Drosophila melanogaster: one gene and its partners. Changing the gene in region 3 together with the main gene of any one other region gives a genetic interaction. Each region holds a gene or a part of one and is shown on either strand. Other genes may lie near its edges.

Region 1 (8,062 bases), on a different chromosome or scaffold from region 3:
GGGCATCCTCCTCATACTCCACCTCGTTGCCAATGGGTTTTCCCACAGTCGTCTCGGTTTTCAGCTGCGCTGCCAAGTTCTGCGCCGCGGCCACCGCCTTCGCCAGCTGTGCCGTCTTCTGCTTCTCGAGGATCTCTTGCCGTTTCTTGGCTATGATCTCCTCCTGCTTTGTCATCTGGGCGAAGCGGTCCACTCTGTGATTTCGCTGTGACATAATTCCCAATGCCGCAGACTCCGTTTTATTCCACAATTTTCTTTTCCAGCAAAGCAACAGTGTAACCAACTCACATACTTGGAATTATACCAAGTCTTCGCATCACCAGTGTTGACAATTTTATAGGAAACTACACTGTCAAGCTCTCTTTAGTTCAGTTCAAAAAAATTTTAAAAAATATAACTTTCTAATGAAAGTTCAGTTCAAAAAAAAATTTTAGAAGAATAATAAAATAAACAATTTTAGAATAAAAAAATTATGTAATAAAAAAATCCATCTTAAATTTAAGATAAGACCTGTGCGGCAGTTAATCTCAGTGGTCTAAGGTCAGCAATGATCGAATATGTATTTATTAAATTCAAATTTCAAAAACACCCGTATGCAGAGGAATCGATGGCGATAACAATGGTAACAAACGCGATTATCTTACGAAGTAATTTCCAAACACTGGTTTATAGGGAACAAACAAATGTACCTGTCATTATAAATATTTTGAGACTTCCTTTAACATATAATTCTCTTTGGCAGTATTTAATTTAGTGGATTAAATTATCCATTATTATTTCGTAAAGCCACTTAAGAAGAATCACCTTGTAAATATTTATAAGGATAAACGTTTTTACGTAGTTATAAATTGACCTAAATTTGCCTAAAAAGTACAAGTTGCTTAAGGGCCAATTAAACTAGAGGGTTCGGGGAATAATATGAGTTTTCACATCTGCTTCATTTCACTATTGATACTTGGGTATAATCAATCCCTTCAACATATCAAAGCTGTTTCCATCGGGCTGCACAATTTCTATAGTACCAGTTGGTAATTTCACCTCCAAAAATCCAAAGTCATCGATTCCCACAATTTCGGCCTCTTTTTCCTGATCTTTTTGTAGGCAAATCTTAACAGATTGCCCGCTGTACATAAAAACATGTTAGTAAATGTAATATGCAAATTAAATGTATTTTAAAAATGTTTTAAATTTACCTGTGTAACCATAGCGAATAGTATAATGCATAAAAACTATCAAAGTCTCCGTTTTGTACTTCTCCCAAAAGTCTTTCGATTTCATTGAATATCATGGCAATAAGTAGCTCGTACTTAAGTATAGGTAACTTGTTGTTCGGGACACGGGTATTATATTCTCTTATCAAGTCATTGATGCAAACTGTTGGTCTTGAATTGTTCAAATTAATTCCACTTCCGATATTGACGATGGCTTGGGATCCCTGAAGTGTGGTATTAATGACGAGGCCCCCAATTTTCTGATTTCCATTTGCATAAATGTCATTCGGCCACTTAATGGAAATATCCAGCACCTGAAGGTGATATGAATAAATTAAGTAAAACTCGCCTATCTCCGTAATATTACATATCATAAAATATAAATTGGAACATCAAATATTAACTTAAAAAAATTATTTTTAGTTATAAAATTAAAATATTAAAATAATATCTACCTAATTTCCATTTCCAAATAATAAAATATAAATATTAAAATATTTGACTTATTTCGACTAATAAAATAAAAATGTGAAAATAATTTCTGGATTAATTTTTCAAATAGAATTGAAATATATATGCTATATACACTCGAAGACATAATATAATTACAACATAAGAATAATAATACTTAACGTTCTATTTTTTTTAAATACAGAGGAGTGCCCCTAAGTTTTTCGGATAAGTGCTTTTAGTACATTTTGGTGTGCAGTGAGAAGGAGTCCTCCCGGGTATGGTCACACTTCTCTCGATGCGCTACTTGGGTGTAGAGAAATTTCAACAACAGCCGAGGAACTTGTACAAATTATTGCTTTTTCGCATTGCCTAAGCCGTTTAGAGTTGCGGGCGTTAGCGTGCGCGATAGCCGGAGCACCGAACGTCAAGGTCGCTTGGCGAGGGCCACAATGCGGGGCGGAGTCCCAGCCATTGGTCCCATCGAATCGTCGAGTCCCCGAGGGGGCGTCTGAAAAAATCAATCGGGCTCCACTCCGTCGCGAATAAGCAGGATGAGCAGCAACAACAACGCACCCGCATCGGCTCCAGACACGGGCTCCACCAATGCCAACGATCCCATCTCCGGTTCGCTGTCCGTAGACAGCAACCTGGTTATCATTCAGGACATGATTGATCTCTCGGCCAACCATCTGGAGGGCCTGCGAACGCAGTGCGCGATCAGCTCCACGCTGACGCAGCAGGAGATTCGTTGCCTGGAGTCGAAGCTGGTGCGATACTTCTCCGAGCTGCTGCTGGCGAAGATGCGGCTAAATGAGCGCATCCCGGCCAACGGGCTTGTGCCCCACACAACGGGCAACGAACTGAGGCAATGGCTGCGCGTAGTGGGCCTTAGCCAGGGGACTCTTACCGCCTGCCTTGCTCGCCTGACCACTCTAGAGCAAAGCCTGCGTCTCAGCGACGAGGAGATCCGTCAACTCCTGGCTGACAGCCCCAGCCAGCGAGAGGAGGAGGAACTGCGACGCCTGACCAGGGCCATGCAGAACTTAAGGAAGTGCATGGAGTCGCTGGAGAGCGGTACTGCGGCTAGCAACAACGATCCAGAGCAGTGGCACTGGGACTCCTGGGACAGGCCCACCCACATTCATCGCGGCAGTGTGGGAAACATTGGACTGGGTAACAATTCAACCGCCTCCCCGAGAACCCATCATCGCCAGCATGGTGTCAAGGGAAAGAATTCCGCTCTGGCCAACTCCACCAACTTCAAAAGTGGCCGCCAATCGCCCTCAGCGACAGAAGAGCTGAACAGCACACAGGGTTCCCAGCTGACTTTAACCCTTACGCCCTCGCCACCCAATTCGCCCTTCACGCCTTCCAGTGGGCTGAGCAGCAGCCTTAATGGAACACCACAGAGGAGTCGTGGTACCCCGCCGCCAGCTAGAAAGCACCAGACCTTGCTGAGCCAGAGTCATGTGCAAGTGGACGGGGAGCAATTAGCCCGCAACCGTTTGCCCACTGATCCCAGCCCCGATAGCCACAGCTCCACCAGCTCGGACATCTTTGTGGACCCAAATACTAATGCCAGCTCCGGAGGAAGTTCCTCGAACGTGCTTATGGTGCCATGCTCTCCGGGCGTGGGTCACGTGGGCATGGGTCATGCAATCAAGCATCGTTTCACCAAGGCCCTGGGCTTCATGGCCACCTGTACCCTGTGCCAGAAGCAGGTCTTTCACCGCTGGATGAAGTGCACCGACTGCAAGTACATCTGCCACAAGTCATGCGCACCGCACGTACCGCCCTCCTGTGGACTTCCACGAGAATATGTGGACGAGTTTCGGCACATAAAGGAGCAGGGAGGATACGCCAGTCTGCCGCATGTGCATGGCGCGGCGAAAGGATCCCCTTTGGTAAAAAAGAGCACCCTGGGTAAGCCCTTGCATCAGCAGCACGGCGATAGCAGTTCGCCGAGTTCCAGCTGCACTAGTTCCACGCCCAGCAGTCCGGCGCTGTTCCAGCAAAGGGAGCGCGAGCTGGATCAGGCGGGCAGCAGCTCTAGCGCCAATCTGTTACCTACGCCTTCGCTTGGCAAGCACCAGCCGAGTCAATTCAACTTTCCCAACGTGACGGTGACGAGCAGTGGCGGAAGCGGTGGTGTATCGCTCATCTCCAATGAACCAGTGCCAGAGCAATTCCCCACGGCGCCTGCAACAGCCAACGGAGGACTTGATAGTCTGGTGAGCAGCTCCAACGGGCACATGAGCTCGCTCATCGGTAGCCAAACTTCAAACGCTTCTACTGCGGCCACCTTGACGGGCAGTCTGGTCAATAGCACAACCACCACCAGCACCTGCAGTTTCTTTCCGCGAAAATTGAGCACAGCCGGTGTGGATAAGAGGACGCCGTTCACCAGCGAGTACACGGATACCCACAAGTCAAATGACAGCGACAAGACAGTCTCCTTGTCTGGAAGTGCCAGCACGGACTCGGACCGGACACCCGTTCGTGTGGATTCAACGGAAGACGGAGACTCGGGACAATGGCGCCAGAACTCGATCTCACTCAAGGAATGGGACATCCCGTATGGTGATCTGCTTCTGCTCGAGCGGATAGGGCAGGGACGCTTCGGCACCGTGCATCGAGCCCTTTGGCACGGAGATGTGGCGGTTAAGCTGCTCAACGAGGACTATCTGCAAGACGAACACATGCTGGAGACGTTTCGCAGCGAGGTAGCCAACTTCAAGAACACTCGACACGAGAACCTGGTGCTGTTCATGGGAGCCTGCATGAACCCACCATATTTGGCCATTGTGACTTCATTGTGCAAGGGCAACACCTTGTATACGTATATTCACCAGCGTCGGGAGAAGTTTGCCATGAACCGGACTCTCCTCATTGCCCAGCAGATCGCCCAGGGCATGGGCTACCTGCACGCAAGGGAGATCATCCACAAAGATCTGCGCACCAAGAACATCTTCATCGAGAACGGCAAGGTGATTATCACGGACTTTGGGCTGTTCAGCTCCACCAAGCTGCTCTACTGTGATATGGGCCTAGGAGTGCCCCACAACTGGTTGTGCTACCTGGCGCCGGAGCTAATCCGAGCATTGCAGCCGGAGAAGCCGCGTGGAGAGTGTCTGGAGTTCACCCCATACTCCGATGTCTACTCTTTCGGAACCGTTTGGTACGAGCTAATCTGCGGCGAGTTCACATTCAAGGATCAGCCGGCGGAATCGATCATCTGGCAGGTTGGCCGTGGGATGAAGCAGTCGCTGGCCAACCTGCAGTCTGGACGGGATGTCAAGGACTTGCTGATGCTGTGCTGGACCTACGAGAAGGAGCACCGGCCGCAGTTCGCACGCCTGCTCTCCCTGCTGGAGCATCTTCCCAAGAAGCGTCTGGCGCGCAGTCCCTCCCACCCCGTCAACCTTTCCCGTTCCGCCGAGTCCGTGTTCTGAGGGAACTGCAGCATGGCCACTGTCACTGTCTAGTACAATTTCGATCTACCAACTAAGCTAGCTCGCTTTGTGCCCTCGTCCACTCTACACAAACTCTCTCCCAAGGCGAAGTTCTATCGAGCCGAGCGAAGATTGTAAATACATAAACGTAACTACCAAATTATAGCAATCCATTTTAAAAACTACATACATATGTGTAGGCATGTATCGGGAGCACTCCAGTTGCAGTTGTTAGCAAACGAAACAAAGGCAAATCAAATGTTAACTCGAAAAAGACAAAACGCTTAAATGTTTAAGAGCAGAGGCAAACAGAGAAGGCATAGACATACATATACAAACAAACAAACAAGCACTGTGGCAAACATAAATGTAAACGTTAATCAGGTGAGCAATTTCTAAATTGTTAATTATGTGTAAGAGAACTATATATATATATATATATATATATATATATATATATATATATATACATGTATATACAGCAGCAATGTATTGTATATGACGGACTAGTGTTAAATTAAATATATATTGTGAATTATGTATGGTCAAGTGTATATAGTAAATGGACTTTAAATGCGAAATCGAAACAAAATGTCAAATAAACTTATTAAACCTAAAAAATCACTTTGTGCACTTGGCAGTTTTACAGATCCTGAGGTTCGTCCCATCGTCCCACAGGCGGAGATAATCGAAACAATCTTAACTTAAGATTCAACTAAATGGTAAAACTTTACAGTCTTGACTCACCCCGTACTCTTCATGACTGCGGAGCGAATTAACAATCGCCGTTCCAACAAGGTGCTGCAACAGAGGCAGCCGAGAGCTCAAAGCGCTGTCCATGGTCAGGTGCAGCTGCAGCGAGAACATGGCACAGCCCGGCGGACTAAGCCACTGGAAAGCACAAAGCGATGATTTCAACAAGAACTTAAATCTGGATGCTTCTAGAGTACTAACTTGATTATTTCTGCGACCCACTCCGGACGTCTGCTGCACGGGGAGCACAGCCAGGCCGTGGATGAGCTCCAGGTTGTTTATGAGATGCATGGAGCTGCTGACCACCGGTGCATAGATGACCAGTCGTCCGATGTGTTCCGTCTTAAGATTCTTTAAAATAAGAGGAATTTGGGTTAATTCTGCTATAGACTAGAATTAGAATGCGCTCACATCGAAGTAATCCACGGTGGAGAAGTCATCCGGACAGGAATGTATGAGTATGGGCAGGACATTGTTGTTGGCCACTGGAGGCTTATCGTCCTTGCCACAGAACTTCATCGTCAGGTTCGGCGTTGCTATCACGTTGTCGGATCCGCTGCAGCGCAGACGTAGCTTCTCCAGAAGCTCAAACTTGGCCTGAATAACAAAAAGAGCTAGAATATTGGATTCTGATGCCAAAACAAATGGAGAGACGAACTGACCTCGTGCCGACCTAGGAAATATGCGTGCTTGTAGACAACTCCAGGCTGCGGCTGGTCGACACCGTCTCCACCGCGGACCTGCACATCCAAGTACTTTCCCAGGAGATCCGCAAATATCTCGAGGCGAGTTCGCTCGTTTTGCTTTAGAATGGAGTACTTAGTCTCATCGGATTCAAATTCGCTGGGATTCATTTCCAAGTGCACCTGTTTTTTTTTTTGTTTCATAGGAATGTTTTTTTTTAATATATGTTTGTTATATTTACATGAGCAATCACTTACTTGGGAGAAGACGGCCTTTCCGCCGCTCTGCAGGCTTTTGGCCAACATCAAGCTGGGCGTATTCCAGGTTTCCTCGGTTCCCAGCACATGGACATCCAAATTGTGGCTGTGACCGGCCAGATCCTTCAGTTCCATGGACCTTGGACATACTAGAGCTCTGAGCAGCGTTTCGTGGTTTGATTTGTGTTTTTTTTTCGATTTTTGTTTGTTTTTGGTTTGTTGTTATTTTAGTTATTGGTAGGATGGATTATAATAGTGATAGCACACACATATAGAAGCACACGCAGAAATTTAAGGATTTAGAAGGTAAACGTAGCAGGATGGTGAAAAGGTTTGAAATGCCAAATGTTTATAACACAATTAAACAATTAAATTACATGGATGGCACATTCAATCGATAAAAAACAAGAGTTAAGAGAGCTTACAGAAAACATAGATAGGTTAGTTAGTTAGGCGGATTGAAAACGGAGTTTAGATAGATGGATTACAGTGCACACCGAATCAAATAGAAATTAAGCCATATTTAGAGTAAACGAGACCAATTTGAGCATGAAACATTTGAGAAATAAAATGAGAATTGGAATTGGTTAGAATCGGTTTAGTATAAGAACGATTAATTAGGATTAATTCATTTCATTTCAAGCCCCATTCAGAAAAAGTAATAATATACATAAATGAAACAAGACAGGAGGTTGGTTTCGGCAGGCCGAAGTTCATATACCCTTGCAGAAATTACATATGTATATGTCAAGAAAAAATATAATACAAATTAAAACGGGAATTATATATTCCATTTTTATTTCATTTATTTTTCGATTATTCCTATGGAAGCTATAAGAAATAGAGGACCGATTATTCCCTTTTCTTACTTACATATTTCAGGAGGAAGTCTTTTCATGCAAACAGCTTTAAAACTGAGAGGCTAGAATCCTTAAAACTGGATGAACAGACGGACTTGGCTGGTAAAACTGATCAAGAATGAAGAAAGTGCCTTTTAACCCTTTAAGCCCTGAAAACTTCTGACTGGAAGATATATACCTTCTGCAAGGGTCTAAAAAGTAAAGCGTTATAACTTGGCCTCTTTTTTACAATTTACCCGACGGCTGTGCAATAATCGACTTGAATAGGGCTTTCGGGTGTATAAAACATGCAACATTTCGGTTTCAAATACACTGATACTCAGTTAATGGGCTATTTGTTATTGGCACTATTAAGAAGATCGGCAAGGTTAGCAATGTGTTTTGGTCACTGG
Region 2 (4,270 bases), on a different chromosome or scaffold from region 3:
GCATTCGAGTTTTGTTTTGCTTTGCTTGTTTTTTGCATTTAATGGCCGCACTTTTTTGCACGGCACTCTCCAAATTGTTTTTAAAATGCTAACTTTTTTCTTGGCGCTTTAACTTATTTATATGTGTTCGCGGCAAAATATTTTACTTTGTGCTTTGGTTTACGCTTCAAAGAAACATAAATATGGGAAATGGAAATTATTAATTTTTTACATGTTTTCAACGGTTGGGAATTAATCAACGTTCGGCGAAAAAAATTGCAAATTCAATTAAAAATGTTTATTAATGTTTCAATACTCGAAATATATAGTTTTGCGATAACGTCGCTCTGGGCCATGCTAGATTATTTATGTGGTGCGAATAAGATTTTGGCCTGGCTTTATATTTAATTAGCCGAATTTCATATATGGAAATAATGGGTGTTTTCTGAGAGTATCTTTTGGTGATTCAATAAATCAAGTATTGCACTTGAGATGTCAAGTACTCTTGTTAGCCGCATATAATTCAACAACACATACACAACATGTTAGAGATCCAATTATTATTAGTTCTTCAACTGTAGTGAATAATGAAAAAAAATACAAAATAAAATAAAAAAGGGTGACTGCATCCATTCTCGATGTCTCAGTCATAAGACTTTCACTATAGGTGAGTACTGCTAAGGTTGACCTGAAACAGGAAGTATTCAGTGAAAGATTTGTATGATATGTTTGATTGCTTGTATTGAGTTTGGCTTATTCGAATATGAAATTCTATCCAAATCCGTTAAAGGGAAACCATAGGTCTTACCATTGATCTAAAGTAGGTCTTAACAGAAGACCATCCCAGATTGGACGAGCTGTCCCAGTGACGGTGATTGTACCGGTCCTCAAAGTCATAGGTGCTGCCCAACGAAGTGGGAAGGGGATGGACCTCCAAGAACTGAGACCAAAATCCGGCAGGCATCAGAAGTAGCACCTTCAGCACCCGCTGCCAAGTGACGACATTTTCGAGGGTTAGATCCAGATCTCCGAACAGAGTTGGAGCGAAGATCACGGCAAGATTGTTGACCGTCATGCGGACAGCAGGACTTTCGGCAATTTTCTGCCAGTGAAGCATTAAGTAGGCCAACGTATCCCTGTGAGCCTGATGCAGCTCCAGAACCGCTAAATATACCGCCATCTCCACAGCCAGACGATCTTCGTGCCGCGTGGCCTCCTCGAAATCCCTTCGGTGGTAAATGGGAATCAGAGGGTGAACCAACTGCCGAAGAAAGTCCTTAACACAACAGCACAGTGTGTGGGTGTCTTTATTGCCCAAATGCGGCGTGGACTTGCCACGCAGCAGCTTCCGACGCAGTCGTTTGCATTTCTCTCGGGTGGAGGACACCCGGTAGAGTCCCTCCTGCTGCAATCCCCGCGCCTCGATCTCCGTTACACAATGGACAATTAAGGCCGGCACCATGGGCGCCACCCGAGGCGCATAATCGCTGAGACATCCTCTCTTCGTACCGATTTGAGGCTGGGGGATGCAGTTCACCGTCAGCTGGCGGCAGCAACCGATGTGGCAGCGGAGCGGACACGCCCGACACCTCAGGCTGGCCATGGCGAAGCGGATCCTGGAAGAAGACCAGGGACACGCGGTTAGGGAGGTAAATGCTGGTCAGAGAGGGTTGGGATGTTATTTAACTTTTCATGTTTTCCCTGAATTCGAAATCCTCTCAGAAGTTCCACCATTCGGTGATTGCAACTCACCTTTTGCGGCAGTGTACGCAGTTCCCCACGTTGTAGTAGTAGGACTTAATCTTGAAATTGTGCTCCCTCAGCAGCCCCGAGTGGGACTGCGAGCAGAAGTCGAGTCCGTCCGTGGATAAGCCATCGCAGCCACTGGGATTCATGTCCACGCGATCCTGCAGCGAGTCCAGGGACTGCGATCCAAACATGCGGTAGTGCTCGCTGAGGTCATCGTAGGACCTGTACTCCCGCAGAAGCCTCCGTTTGTTCTGCATCGTGGGGCGAACGGGCGACAAATAAAGTCGATTTGAGGGCGTCCGACTCCCAGAGCCACTAATCATAAAGTTGGCGAATTGATTCAGCTGTTCTGGTCAGTTGGCAATTTCCGAAGAGAGGCCACTTCGGCTTGAGTCAGCTACGCAGAAGTTATCGGCTCGCTTCTCCGAATACTCGACCGAAATGTTTATTTACTCTTACGGTTTATTTGGAATCGGGTGAAAGCTGATAGCTTAAATAGTTCTGGCAGCACAAAAATTCGATCACCCATAGAGAGTGCCTACTGTGGGTCGTACATTTGTAAATATTTCTGGATAATTCATACACACATCTAGGGTGCTCCGCAGAAATTTAATGGGCGACTAAGGTGTTACTAAGAAATATCAAAAATGCTGTTTTCAATACAAAAAAAAAGTGAATCAAATTATTATAAACATTTTTTGTGCCTAACAATAACAGATATTTGCCCTGTCTTCTTCATATAAACAAGTCAGTGGTGATCTTTTTATATTTTCGATTCAATTAAATCGTTAAAGACAATCAATCACACCGAGATTCAATGTCACGATACAAAAGCTAAAAATCCCTAAAAACAAAAAGAATGTAGAAAATCGAACTAAAAAAACAATTTGCTAAAGTATCTATGAATTCTAAGCGCCCAGAAAATGGCTCAATGGCGCCGCTAAATGGATGAAAAATTCATGGAAAACCGTTTTGCGGCCACCAGACATAGAATGCAACCAGCAAAAATGTAGCACGAAAAAATGCTGCAGTTCATGTGAGGCCGGAACGTCAGAAAGCGAAAATGTTGAGTAAACGTGCTGCTAAAAAAACACAAAAATTAGAATTTAAAGGGACTTCGAGCTTGGAACTTTTGTGGAAAACGAAACATGGATCTGTCTGTTGATTTAATGGCATCATTGGCATTGATTTTTATGCGATTTTAAAGTTTGGATAGAGTAAAAACAAAATTATCATGGCACTTTTCAGTTTTGGGCTGTGAATTGAAGAGCAGCGCCAGCAAAATTAACGAGCAAGGCGGGGAATTGGATTTTTATGCTTTTTTGTAGTCGTTTTTTAGGCGTCAGCTGCATTGACGCCGGTGTGCCTATGTGTGCGTGAGCATTTGAGGGTGTGGGTTTAGGTGTGTGTGAGCTTTGGGCTGAAATACTAAGGATGGTTGCCACTGCCACATTGAATTCGTAGTTATTAATGCGTATTGAAATGCACACATTGCAGTGAGTGAGAGTGTCTCTCTCTGTGATTATGCGGCGTGTGTGTGGGCGTAGTATTCATAATTGCACTTGTGTGGGCTTCTATCTGTGTCCGACTGTTTTGTTTGTATTCAAAGTCCACAAATACGAGTCACGCATCGCAATAAGCCCATGCAATCCCCTGCCTCACTCCTCACTCCACTTTTCCCAAAATGCTTTTTTGTACTTTTTCTGATTCGCCTCTGACTGTGTGTGTTCAAATACGTGTGTGGCCCTATGTGTGTGTCTGTCCGTTGCGTATTCCAAAAAGCAAAAAAAAAAAGTACAGAAACACAACAAAACAGCATAAAAAATGTTTGGACATCCACAAAACATACAAAAAAGAGGGGAGTTCTGGGCAAAAACGAGTGGGAAAAAATGGCATCAAAGCACGTTGACAGTGTTGCCACGTGGTGATAATTAATTTTTCACACACAAAAGTTGATCAAAATGTTTTTATCCGGTGCCTCCAAAATTTAAGGAATTATTTGGTTGCATCGAGCTCAAAATATTTCAACTTTAAAGCTTCTTAACAGAATGAAAAAGTTTAACGCAATTGTTATAGATTCAGGATGTTGCTTAAAAACATCTTAGCACATGGTTTTCTGTACTAAAACCATGAAATCAGCAATTAATTAATTAAAAGTCTCAGATGTATATCATTTAGCTACTAGGGAACACTCTTAAAATATCCACATAGAAATAGAAATATTAACACCCACCAGTATGTGGGATAAAACTAGATATTCAAATTCTGAAAAGCTGGCCTACACATAAGATGACCAATATGATTTTAAGGACAAAAAATCAGTTCACTAAGTGACCTTTTGTGAATTGAACTATAAATCGCAAAACAACCTGTTAAAGAATTCCGCCTCAATCGTCGCTTTGTCTAACCCAATTCTAGTTGGGCACTAAAAACAACAATTTATAATAAATTGTATTTTTCAATGGCAACTCTGCTATTTTTTAAGACTCTTCCTCTCCCTTTCTTTCTGCCGCCGGCCAGGATGCAAAAACCTAAAAAACAA
Region 3 (4,898 bases):
GGCCGAAACGCGCATGACTCCAGTACCGGGAACACTCGCTCCCGGCGAGGCGGTGACCGCACCCATGATCTCCGCCGCCGCTCCAATGCCGCCCAAGCCAGATCCACTGTAGCGAAAGGCGCACTGATCCTGCTCCTTCAGCTTGCCCTGCGCCAGCGTAACGAGATTCTGTGCACGATCATGAAACATCATCGTATTTATTATAGCAATACACTGTGTACTAGGTTAGTGTTAATTGGACTTACCCGCACAGCATCCTCGAGAAGATCAATGACTTCCCGCACATTCTCGTTGCTCAGGGAGGCGCACTCGCCGCTGTCCTCGGAGAGCATCACCTCGTCGCAGAGCTTGATGAGCTTGCCCAGGCTCTGGTAAACCTGCAGCGTGGCGCTGCTCATGATGGCACTGTTTTCATTCAGGGTATAGGTTTGGATCACTGCGGCAGCAAAGGAAAGCAACTGGATTAATTACAAAACGAGGAAATTGGGGTAGTAGATACTCACCGGAGTACATGCTGGCTATGGTTTCCAGAATGACCGTTCCGTTGCCCGGCAACACCTCCAGCTTCTTCTTGAGTATAACATCCCGGAAGTGCTTCAGGGCATTCGAAATGTCCTTGACGTGCGTCTCCAGGGTTTGGGTGGACCGTAGCACCTCCTCGGTGGTGGGCGGTGCCTTTGTGCCGTGCTTGGTGCGCGGACTGTGCGGCGAGTGGGAGCGACCCAGTGTATTGTTGGTGGTTCGCATCAGGGAAATCTTCTCGATGAGGTCGTCCTTAAAGGAACGCGCCCGGCGCGCTAGCTTGGTGCCCTTGAGACTGTTCTTGTGGCCCGAGGATCCGGCACTGGGTGGTGCCGGTGGTACACCACCACCTCCGCCTGCTCCTGCTCCCCCTACCCGACTAGATCCTCCCGGCGTGCCCTGCAGCTGCTGGTGCTGCGAGTGATGCTGATGCGTGGGTGGTGGCGGAGTGCAGGCGGTGGAGTAGCTGCCGCTGTTGATGCTATTGTTGCTGCTGCTGCTGCAGCCGCCACCGCCCACTCCGATGCCACTGGAACAGGTGCCGGGCGTGGATGGAGAACTGATGCTGCCGTCTGCAAAAAGAGCAAGAAATCGGGGATTATTAATCTAAGGTAGGTACACTTAATCAATTCATAGGCATTAGATAACAATATACGTTTTTGGGTAACAATAATAAGAGACTAAGACTGGAATCTAGATCCTATATATATACACATATCATGGGCTTAGAGTCTTTCCTGTTCGAGCCGCATTCTTGAATGCCAATTTGAAAATCAAAAGTTGCTCCATATAAAACCACAATCTTTTGCAATATATGGCAATGTTGGTATCGTTTCGTTTCTTACTTTTCTTCATTTGGTTAGGTAAGATGAATATCTTAAGGTCATCGTATACATCATTCTAAAGTGGCTAAGCCAGCAGCGAAAATGAAAATCTTTCAGAGTTAGCCAAACAGCTTGAGGAATCTTGAAAAGATTCATCATTACCCCTTCACAACACAATATATGTACATATGTACTCATTCGAATCTTGAAACGTGTCTACTTAAATGTGAAATAATTGCAATTGAAATCAACATATGTAATACGGAATTCCTAGCATTCCCCATTTCGGGAATCGTTCATGCGAGCCCAAACATTTTAGTTTCGGAACTTTTTTAAAGATCCAAAACAGCGAGAAACCGATGAGCACCACCCACCAAGCGAAAAGACCGGCGAGTAGCTTTCACTTACGGCACACCGCATTCTTGAGCGGCACAGGTGTGTCCATCTCCATATCGAACTCCCTATCCACGGTCACATTCACATCGACATCCACATCCATCTGCAGTGGAATCGCTGGCGTTGATAGCGCCAATCGTGCCAGCTTTTTGTATTTGCGACGTCTGTGGAATTTGATGCTATGCAACGTGTTGCCGGTGGCACTGATGCTGTTGCAGGTGTTACTGCTGTTGCAGTTGCAGTTGTTGCTTGTGAGGCTATGATTGTTGTTGGTGTCGCGCGGCGACCACGACTGCCGCTGAGTCTTCCAAAGACGATGATGATTGTGATGGTGCTGTTGATGATGATGATGATGGAGTTGGTGCTGATGGTCATCGTGGCTGGCACCGCTGGGATACGGATTCCGATTCCGATTCGGTTTCGGACTCGGATGTGGCGGCAATTGCTTGACCGTGTACGAATAGAAATGCCAGCGGTCGGCGAGCGCACAGTCGCTCAAAAAAGATTCATCAAACTGCGGCATAATGTTGCATAATGACAGCAGCAGCAGCAGCAGCAATAACAACAGCAGCAACAGCGACAGCAACACGCATAACAACAATTTGTTGTGGCTTAAATATGCTTGGCCAAAAGACACACACGTTGGCCTAACTGATTTCTCCAAATAGCGATAAGCGATAGCAGCAACATCGTTTTCGTATAAGATTGTTGATTTAAGCGATTGCCGTCGCGATTACAACATCAATTCATTTTTCTGTTTCGGCATGTTTTACATTGATTATTTCACTTTCAGTTTTCGGTTGTTTCAGTGTTTTCGGAAAAAGTTTTAAGCACTGATAAAAGCTATATCCGATGTGCTCTGCCAGCAGGAAGTAGATTTCAATTGCTTTCTCATCATGTTCGTTCACTTTTGCAATTCGTTCGATAGTCCGATAGGCAATTCAAGCGATTACCGATTCAAGCTTCCTGTGGCAACCGCAAGAATTGTTCTGGACACTCTTTGTTTGACTGAAATACAAGTATGCCAGCTTAGAGATCACTTCAATTGGCCATAGTGATTTCCGTATATTATTTTCTTTAATGTTTAAAAGCCATCAAGCCCTAATTTCCGTTTCTTACTGCCTGCCCGATTGTGGTAAATTGAAGGTAATCAACTCCAAAGCCACTTGTCTTTTGCTTTACTTATATTTCAAGTGCGATTTCCGCAATTTTCCCCAATAGCTTTCCATTCGCCGCACAGTCACTTTTGCATTTCTGAACTTGAAATTTCAACAGGCTTCGGCTGATTGATTCAATCGCCGATAAGCGATAAGCTAACACTTTTGGCCTGCCACTCTCAGTGCAATTTCTTTCACTTTTCAAGTGCAATTTGGCGCTCTTTTCTTTGATTTTTCATCATCCATCCATCCATCCATCTCGTTGGCGCACCGCCCCCGCAGTGGGCTATCTATCTGGTTGGCCTCTGGGTGAGGAGATGTTGATTAAATAAATCACAAATAAAGATGATTATATTTAGACACTGGCGCTCTGCTGCTGCTGCTGCGGCGGCTGTCGTCGTAGTCCGTTCGCGATGTTGTCGTTGTCGACTGGAAAGCGCACTGAACTATGAAAATCCGCAAAACGGGCAAAGCCAAAGACGACCGACCGACTGAAAGACCGACCAGGCGGCAAAAGCGAGTGTCCGAGTCTTGGAGACCCGCTAACCGGCCAACGGCAATGGCAACACATTAGCAATATAGCAATACAGCAATAGCAGCAACAACAGACGCAGCAGCAGCAGCAGCAGCAACACGAGAGCCGCCGAGGGGGCAAAAAAAAAAAAGAGCCCCAAATGGCACTTGCCCACCTGGCAATCGCCCTCTCACCATCTCTCCTGATCTCTCCTGCTGCTCTCGCCACATCGCTCTTTCTCTTTCCGAGATTCATCAAACAAATCATACATGTTCACATCACTGATGGACCAAACGGGTGCTACAAACGTATCCATTCAATGTGGCTCGGAAATCGTGCAAATATTCAGTATATATTTACGATAATATTTCTATTTTAAAATGACAAGTTACTTTACTGTTTATACTTGCAGGTACACCCCCCTTTCTCGCAGTGCAGTCCGCGGTTTGCGGCTCTTTTCACCCGGGAGGCTGCTCTCCAACCGTCGGCCTCTCCGCCCAATTATCAATCAGCTGGCGCACCTGAGAAAGAGCCCGTGGCGAAGGGTGAGGGGGCGGTAATTGGGGGCGACAAGGGAGTGGTAAAGGGGGGGGGGTGAGGTGGATGCGGGGCAAGAGACAAGAAGACGCCGGGCGGATTTCTTCAATTTGCAAGTGCCGCTCGTGACTTGCCTTGGAAATCAACTAGCTGCTGCGCAAATGGGCGAAAATCGAAGGCGTCGCCAAAAGTGAGTACAGCAAGCAAGAAAATAAATAAGAAAATAAATATAAAAAAAATATATAAAAAACTATATATCTCAAGCAAAAGCTTACAACAAAACAAGAGAGCAAGTCAATAAGCCCCCACTAACTGAAATGTATATGGAAAGCAGGAAAAAAACAACCCAAGTGGATCGGGTTAGCGGCCAAAAAGAAAGGCCATCCTTGTAATGGGTAATGGCCAAAGGGTGGAACTGAATCCTTGGCTTAAGGTTAAGGCCAAGTTGAAATCCTAGCCAATGGCTCAATTAAAATAGAATAAAGCTTGCCTGCGTCCAGTGAAAAGTTCGAATATCAAGGTCGTCGTAGTTCGTTGCCTCTCTAATAGGACCTTAAACGAGCTTCGACTTTCTATGAATTTAAAACTAGTCATGCCTAGTAGTGCTAGTTGTTTCAACAAAATTAGCTTTGAATTCCAATAAAAACTGTTAATTAAAATCGAATAACATTCTGGAGAATTGTAAAAAACAAAGAGCGGGCAATGCTTTACATTAATTTCCGGGAACTAGCAATTGCGAAAAAATTTCAGTTTTTGACCCAGTGCCCGAAATGGGCTTTGTTTTCGGGCACTCGGTCAGCCACCACCCACTCCTCCAGTACGAGATGGCAGCACTAGGGAGCAGCAGCAGTCACGTTCACCCAATTAATTTGGCACACCGCACAAATGGGAAATTGTAAGAGCAGCCAGGCCGGCGAAGACCCCAAAAACCAAAACCCGATATCACTT

Evidence for each region.
Region 1: of C3G (region 3) and ksr, changing one suppresses a phenotype caused by changing the other (phenotypic suppression), as found in Drosophila melanogaster (one study listed by BioGRID).
Region 2: of C3G (region 3) and RacGAP84C, changing one enhances a phenotype caused by changing the other (phenotypic enhancement), as found in Drosophila melanogaster (one study listed by BioGRID).

Annotation. Positions count from the first base shown.
Region 1 is NT_033777.3:5,477,791-5,485,852, reverse strand, and holds ksr (kinase suppressor of ras), read left to right. Parts: upstream 1-1,946; 5' UTR 1,947-2,215; coding exon 2,216-5,116; 3' UTR 5,117-5,863; coding exon of another isoform or gene 5,864-6,007; 3' UTR 6,008-6,070; coding exon of another isoform or gene 6,071-6,220; 3' UTR 6,221-6,280; coding exon of another isoform or gene 6,281-6,466; 3' UTR 6,467-6,531; coding exon of another isoform or gene 6,532-6,735; 3' UTR 6,736-6,810; coding exon of another isoform or gene 6,811-6,967; 3' UTR 6,968-7,463; downstream 7,464-8,062. Other genes in the region: CG31550 (uncharacterized protein), read right to left, coding at 1-214; Hcs (holocarboxylase synthetase), read right to left, coding at 946-1,123, 1,194-1,525, 5,864-6,007, 6,071-6,220, 6,281-6,466, 6,532-6,735, 6,811-6,967.
Region 2 is NT_033777.3:7,283,886-7,288,155, reverse strand, and holds RacGAP84C (Rac GTPase activating protein at 84C), read right to left. Parts: upstream 2,195-4,270; 5' UTR 2,052-2,194; coding exon 1,732-2,051; intron 1,596-1,731; coding exon 788-1,595; coding exon of another isoform or gene 764-787; exon of another isoform or gene 705-763; intron 668-704; coding exon 641-667; 3' UTR 527-640; downstream 1-526.
Region 3 is NC_004354.4:6,787,958-6,792,855, forward strand, and holds the start of C3G (C3G guanyl-nucleotide exchange factor), read right to left. Parts: upstream 3,079-4,898; 5' UTR 2,266-3,078; coding exon 1,755-2,265; intron 1,095-1,754; coding exon 504-1,094; intron 437-503; coding exon 246-436; intron 169-245; coding exon 1-168. UniProt on the Drosophila melanogaster protein: Guanine nucleotide-releasing protein that binds to SH3 domain of Crk. Transduces signals from Crk to activate RAS. Also involved in MAPK activation.